2 linked regions of the Ovis aries genome follow. The protein of the gene in region 2 interacts with the protein of the main gene of each other region in a biochemical or structural test. Links are inferred from orthologs where the notes say so. Each region holds a gene or a part of one and is shown on either strand. Other genes may lie near its edges.

Region 1 (3,816 bases), about 38 Mb from region 2:
CAACTATCAAATTCCAGTGAGTAGCACAAATATTCAAGAAAAAGACTTGCCACTTCTCCGTGGACTCTAGGAGCCTTCTCATAGCATGGTGGGAATTTCTACTCATGCCAAGAAAGGCCATTAAGTTTCAAAGAAAGGGCTGCACCCAGGCCAACATTTCTGTGAGTGGCTTCCATGAACTTGTGCTACAAGTTATCAGGAAAAAAATTAATGGATTCCCTGGTCAATTGGATTTGGAAAGCACTTGGGCTGAATGAAGTCACATATGCTCCTTTACTGCAGAACTTCTCTGAGTCTTTATAATGATTTCACTCCATGCATTAGGGACCATAGGGCCCATTTCAGCATTTCTGTCATTGGGTTAGGGTAGCAACAGGAGTAGAATTTGAGGATATCTTCAAGGAGACTATTTATTTTTCAAATAAGCTGGGCTTCCCAGGTGGCACTAGTTGTAAAGAACCCGCCTGCCAATGCAGAAGACACTGAAGAGAAGCAGGTTCGATCCCTGGGTCAGAAAGATTCCCCTGGAGGAGGAAATGGCAACCCACTCCAGTATTCTTGCCTGGAAAATCCCAGGAACAGAGGGGCCTGGTAGGCTACAGTACATGGGGTCTCAAAGGGTTGGACACAACTGAAGCGACTTAGCACCGCACAAATAAGCTGTTTATTGAACAACAGTAGTTTAGTTTTGAGTGTTCACCAGCGGACCTAGATGTCTCTTCACAAAGTAGTCCAGAACTCAGATGTGAGCAATAGTGTGTACCTGCTGTACCCCAAAGGCATGACTCACACTAGATTAAGCTTCCTGAAGGAAGGGTGACATCCACCTCCTAACCTGTGACAATGACAGACCCTACCCAAAGCCGACCTTGGAGCTTGCACACAATCGGGGTTTAGAAAAATCTACTGAAATGAATCTGGGCAGCAGGCCCTAGGCCAGGCTTGAAACGAAACCAGATCCAAAATCTCACCCCTTGAAGCTTTCAAAAGCAAATAAACCTTCCCTATTTGTTAGCCCTGGATATCAGCTGACACAGCCGGGAAGGAAAGACAGAGGGTCACCATGGCAACCTGGCAGGGCTTCCCCATGCCCTCCCTCCAGCACAGAGGATCAAGGTGGGGGCAGCTCGGCTCTTCCTTACCTCTTTCTTCTTCTTGGCTTCCTCTAGGGAACTGAGCAGTAATTTGCGCTCTTCATTGGTTTGTTCTATTTGGGTCTTTATCTGTTTCACCTCCTTGAGGGCATTTTTAATTTCTTTATTCACGTACTTACTCCCCTCAGTGGACATTTCTGCAGGAAAAGGGCAGGCAGGTGGATGATGTGAGAGGAAGGGATGGTGCTGGGAATACAACCCTGGAACCAGTTTAAAGGGTCTGAAAGGCCAGGGGGTCTAGGGGCTGCCATGGCTGGGGTCTCCTTGGCAGGCAGCCTTCAGGGTCCCAACTTCACCCTGACCCGGGTTCCATGCCCGGTTCCATCTCCAGGGCACACCGAAGACCCAGGGCCTGAGAATCAATTACAGCCAGCTGCTCAGAAATGCGAACACTGGAGCAGACACACCCCAGAGGAGGAATAACCCAGTGTTCTCCTGGGACGCTGGAAGAGCAGCCTAACCAGCTGCAGAAGAAAATTTTCAAGGAAAAAAAAAATCCTGGAAGCGTAATTGTTTAAGCATCAAAATATAAAATAGTATCCTTTTGGATACAATTTCTTCTGGAATGCAGTTTAAGCAAACATCTGAATTTCATCTGTGTTCTGACGGATGGTATCAGGTGACAGGGACACGGAGGTGAGACGGTGATCAGACACCACATCGTGTGACAAATACAATGAGATAATGTCACCAAGGTACTGAAAGTAACAGCCCATGCTTCTCTGGTGCTTATCCTGGGCCAAGCACCACACTGGACGCTTCACATGCAATTTATTTAAGACTCTCAACATTGCCTTCACCCCACTGCACAAATGAGGATGAAGAATCATAGTGAGGTCAAGATACTCACCCAGGGTTATAACAGCTGGGGAGGGCAGAGACAGATTCCCACCCACCTCTGATCTCAGCATTAGGGTTTCTAACTACTACCCCGGAGAGCTGGTCAGCTCACAGGACGAGAGTGAAGCAGAGGGAAGACAGGTGTCAGGAAGGACCTAGCAGAAGAGGGGAAGCAAAAGCTGGGCTTTGAAGGATGACAAGCCCTCCTAGTAAATGATATTTCCTCTTTCCTGAATCCAGAGCATTGGTTTTCTAGGTGGCAAGGTGGCAGATACAGGTAGTGAGCTTTATGGAAACTCAAAGGGAAGTCCACAGAGGCCCCAGTGGTCCAGGCTTCAGGGAGCGTCATGGGGGAAGTGTGGGCGCTGGGCCAAGCAGCCTGGGAAGGGAACAGCTGAAGGAGACGCAGCAGTCAGAAAGGGCTTGGGTTCCACCTGAAAGTGCCTGGAAGACAACTTGACCACCAGGAGCCTGGGCTGGCGACAGAGGGCTCAGAGAGGGGCCTGAGCAGAGCAAACCAGATCCGATGAACAGGGCGGAAATGGTCTCTGACCCCTGGGGGCCTGGTCACTTACCCTGGAGCTCTTTGTCCGAGATTGCCCGGCCACTCTCCCAGCTGAGCAGCAGCCCCACCAAGAGCAGTAGAGTCTTCATCTTGCCTCCTTCTCCACTTCTGGAATCCCAGCACGCCTCTGTTTGTAGAGAACAGGGAACTGTCATGGCAACAGCTAGACAGCCCGCTGGTCTCCGGCCCAGCCTGCCGCCTGCTCTCCTGGAGCCCTGCTGAGGCCTGGCCCTCCGCTATGCCCTTACTTGCATTAACACCTTTTTATCCCAGGGACTGGACAGGAAAGGATCAGTCTTGCCAATGGGCACTTTCAAAAGAAAGTGGGAGGCAGCGGGTACCGGGAAGAACCGCAGGAAAGCAGCCTCATACAGACGAAACGAGGATCTGGAGTCAGAACCACCGGACTCAGGTCCAAGCTACCCTCCGCCTGTTCCTCCCCCTCCTCCTCCTCTTCTCATCATAGCTGACTGTGCCCGAAAAAGGCACAGGAACCATCTGCATCCAGAGAGGACATCCATCTGATGATACCTGCTCACACCAAATTCAACTCTGAACACACCTCTCCTGGGTCACTCATCCGGCCTATTCCATCCCCCTAACGTGGGGACTGCAGCCCAGAGTGCAGCCAGCTCCCTGCTGTTGACATCACCAAGCCTGCCCGCAGCAGGCATCACCAGTCGATCACAGCACTGTCCCCAGCCATGTCTCGACACCTCCTGAAAGTGCTTTTCGAGGGTCTGAGGCTGTTTTGAGGGCCTGAGGCACTGACAGCCTCAGACCCTCTGGGTTGGCACAGGAAAATAAATCCATTTGTCATCACCAGCGTGAGACTTGAGGCAGGAGGTGTGGATGAGAGTGGAGCAAGGCGAGGACAGTGGTCTCCAGGGAGCATAGCAAGGGAGGGGCAAAGCCAAAGGATTGGGGAGGGGGATGTGGCGTCGGCAGGGGCGAGGGCAAGGAGCCTCCCCAAAAGAAGTCCTGCTGGGAGGAGAGCCTCTCTGCTCTGCCAGGTCCCTTTCACTCAGCTGGTCTCTCTTAACACACCACAGCGCGTCTGCCAAGGTCCTTCCACCACACTCGGCTGGCTGCCTGAACCCTGGACCAGCTGGTCTTACACAATGGATCCTTTCCCCAAAGCTGAAGTTGTTGCAAAACAGAAACCCCTCCCCCCGCATCCCTCCCGCTGCACCCCTCCCCGCAACTTATCATCTGAACTCACCCGCTTCCCCTAACAAGAACGGGAAGGGGCTCTCC
Region 2 (3,816 bases):
TTCTTCTCAGTCCATTTCACAATATTTTCTTTATAAACTTCTGTCAGCTCTAATTTTTGCATATAACTCCCCAATCACTTCTGAAATTACACATATTCCCATCATCCTAATGATTGAAGATATGAGATGATTTTGTTTATTATGGCTGTTATCTGCATGTTGGGAATCTTAAACTTTCCTTGCTTATTTTCTTATGATTTTGGTCTCATGATGCTGAGCACCTAAGAATTTTATTTTCTCACTTGAAATAAAGCAGGGATGTTTTGTGTCAAAATTAGGAAGATATCTCAAAGTTAATGACAAATGGAAAAACTTATTAAGCGGGTGGGAAGGGAAAAGTAATTCACGTTTTATTGAGTGACTACTATGTGCCAGACACCAAGACAGGTATTATTTCCAAGCAAGAGGTGTATTATTTCACAATACTCCCCACTGTTCTTTTCTTTTTCCTGTTTCATTTAGTAGGATTACTTGTGGATTATATTAATATTTGGATATAATTTATATAGGCCATTGTTTAATAAGGAGATGAAGTTCTCCCATTACCAGAAGAAACATTTCTTGCTGCCATACGGTCCACTTGAAAGGAAAGTTGGAGGCTTGTGTAATTGCGCTGAGGCATTGGGTGCCAGTTGAGGACCTTAATCCTTCTGGAGTCTAATATTTTTTTTCTTTTTCCATCTTCATTTTAGGGAGAAGATTGAGCGCATGGATCTAGAGCGCTATCTGCGGGAGGTCATTGTCAGCAGAGCCAACAGTCCTTTTGGCTTGGCTCTTTATGGCCAGTATATTTACTGGACTGACATGCTCACTCAGAAAATTTATCGAGCTAACAAAGTTGATGGGTCAGATCAGACTGCAGTGACCATGACCCTTCCCTTTCGGCCTAAGGGTATTTGTGCTGTTGTGAAGGGCCAACAACAATGTCAAAGTCCTTGTGATCGGTTTAATGGGGGCTGTAGCCATATTTGTGCACCAGGTAAATACTTTGGCCACCTCTTGCAAAGAGTTGACTCATTGGAAAAGACCCTGATGCTGGGAGGGATTGGGGGCAGGAGGAGAAGGAGACGACAGAGGATGAAATGGCTGGATGGCATCACTGACTGGATGCACATGAGTTTGGGTGAACTCTGGGAGTTGGTGATGGACAGGGAGGCCTGGCATGCTGCAATTCGTGGGGTTGCAAAGAGTCAGACACGACTGAGCAACTGAACTGAACTGAACCGAACCGAAGGCACTGGGCACAAAGATAGAATCATGGAGAGTGATAATAATGATGACCACTAGTAAGGAAGGCTGAGGGAATATTCAGCTCCAGCACGAACAAAGATTCTCTTTGTTTTCAGAGGAATTTCTAAAATAGATTTCAGGGTTTGTATGTTGAGAAGAAGACTGAAGGTTTTTTTTTTTCTTTCCTATTCCATATGGAGCCTTCTTACAATGACATTTTTAAATTAAGCTTGATGGAGGTAGAAAGAAATATGCAGGTTTGGCTGCTGCATATCATGTCTTGAATAGAAATTTCATCAATGAACTAATGTTCCTCATTAAAGGATTTAATACTTTCACTTAGGAGGTACTATTTATGGTTGAATAAACAGAGTGTGCTTCAGAAGTGTGTTTTATAGAGAACAATAAATTCATAAGAGGATGTGCCTTTTGAGACTATTGCTGTGCAGATTTTGCTGAGAATCACTGTTAATGTTTCAGTGAAGATAAGAAATAGTGGTTTAAAGATTAGGGTGAATTAGCCACATTCATTAGAAATTGGTGGTTGTTCACATTGATGAAAACATAACATAGAGCAGAGTTTCCATGTTTTAGAGTGTGTTTAGTAATATAGAAGCTGTTGCCAGTGCTCTTCAGGGGGAGAAAATATCAGTGTTTGCTACAGAAATATTTTGCTTTTTTCTGGGCTTACCTTTCTTCAGGTCCAAATGGCCCTGAGTGCCAGTGTCCGCATGAGGGCCGCTGGTACCTGGCCAACAACAATAAGTACTGCATCCAGGATAACGGTACCCGGTGTGACAGTTCCAAGTTCACCTGCCTCAGTGGGAAGTGCATCCCTGACCAGCTGCAATGTAATGACATCGATGACTGCGGTGACAGCAGTGATGAGCTGGAAACTCTCTGCGGTGAGCTGGACTCTTGGAACTTTTGAAGTTCATGGTGTACCTTGTGGTTGTTCCTTTTACAAGCGAAGAACATGTACCCTGAGAATCTAGACTGCACTTTGCTTAAATCACGCAACAGCTGATATATGCGCTGTGAAGTAGTGTTCGATGCTTTATTAGGAAGCACCTCTGAAGTGCACCTAAGAAGGGGCAGAGATGCTGCATGCACGTCTGGGAAGCTCTGGGAAAATTACTTCACTTCTCTGAGCTTCAGTCCCATGAAAGCATTGTGTTTGCATGCTTTCATGAAGCTGAGATAAACTTATACATTGAGATGGTGGAGGAATGGAGTGACTTTGCCATTTGCATCAAATCCTCCATTTGCTTAAAAAAAAAGTATACAACATATTTGCTTAATTTAACTAATTTAAAGTTTGAGCTCACTTTGCATGCAGTACATGTGGCAGCTTTTGCCTCGGAAGGTCAACCCAAAGTGTCTTATTTTACTTGATTGTATCTTTTTAGAAAATGGGATGATGCTTTCATCTGCGAGCTTCTTCAATGTTGTTTTAAATATTTTGTTCCCCTCCTCTTAGCGTTTCACAGCTGCCCTTCGACAAGCTTCACCTGTGCCAATGGGCGATGTGTCCCATACAGTGATCGCTGTGATCACTACAATGACTGTGGCGACAACAGTGATGAGGCTGGCTGCCGTTTCAGGGCTTGTAACAAAACAGAATTTACTTGCAGTAACGGAAGGTGCATCCTTTCTGAATTAGTCTGCGACGGGATAGACAACTGCCACGATGGCAATGCTTCAGATGAGAAAAATTGCTGTAAGTTCATCTTACGTTCTTAATGGGCTTTGGAGCCTTGAACTCTCAGAGCCTGGGAGATGTAAAGACGATGCCTTTCTGATAAAAAAACTGACAGTATTTGTCTAAAACGTGCATTTCATTTTACATGCCTACTAGTGATTTTTAAAAATAATTCGACCTAATATTTGATTTATTCATACAATCTTTGACTACTTTCCCCTTCTATATTTTATCTTTGGTTTGTGTTTCTGATTATTGTGAAGCTTTACCAATGATTACTGACAAAATTAATTGATTAATGTGTGTGGTTAATGTTTGTTATGCACAAAGCTGTGTAGCACAGTGTTGACTGAAATGATTTGGTAAATTGCTTTTTAGTGAGTTGCTTTTCCCAGATTTCCGGAACTTACAGTTTAGCATCTTGAGAAAACAGTAGCACAGAGTATGAGCAAAAATGCATTTTCATTTCGGGTACATCGACATGCTCTTCTGTCTTTGTATGTGGTTATACACAATATTTATTTGGGTGTGGCAGTATTATTGCCTGGATAATCCTATAGACAGAGGAGCCTGGTGGGCTACAGTCCATGGGGTCACAAAGATCCAGACATGACTGGATGACATCCAGAGCATGCACCCATGCTTTTTTGTTGTTCTTTTTTTTAACAAGTGGTCAATATGTTTCATCCATGTCCTCCAACTTTTCCCCTGAGTATTTTAAAGCAACTTCCAGAAACACATGTCAATGATAAAGACATTTGTTTTCAAATTTAAAAAATGTTTTTAAAATTTTAATTGGAGGATGATCTGCTTTACAATGTTATGTTGGTTTCTGCCATACAACAAGGTAAATCAGCCGTAAGTATACATATACCCCTTCCTTG

Evidence for each region.
Region 1: the proteins of LRP2 (region 2) and clusterin form a complex in vitro, tested with the Homo sapiens proteins (3 studies listed by BioGRID). The link is inferred for Ovis aries from reciprocal best matches to the Homo sapiens genes LRP2 and CLU.

The regions. Positions count from the first base shown.
Region 1 is NC_056055.1:102,027,341-102,031,156, forward strand, and holds part of clusterin, read right to left. Parts: 5' UTR 3,782-3,816; intron 2,687-3,781; 5' UTR 2,649-2,686; coding exon 2,570-2,648; intron 1,292-2,569; coding exon 1,143-1,291; intron 1-1,142.
Region 2 is NC_056055.1:140,214,719-140,218,534, forward strand, and holds part of LRP2 (low-density lipoprotein receptor-related protein 2), read left to right. Parts: intron 1-692; coding exon 693-979; intron 980-1,931; coding exon 1,932-2,135; intron 2,136-2,710; coding exon 2,711-2,950; intron 2,951-3,816. UniProt on the Homo sapiens protein: Multiligand endocytic receptor. Acts together with CUBN to mediate endocytosis of high-density lipoproteins. Mediates receptor-mediated uptake of polybasic drugs such as aprotinin, aminoglycosides and polymyxin B.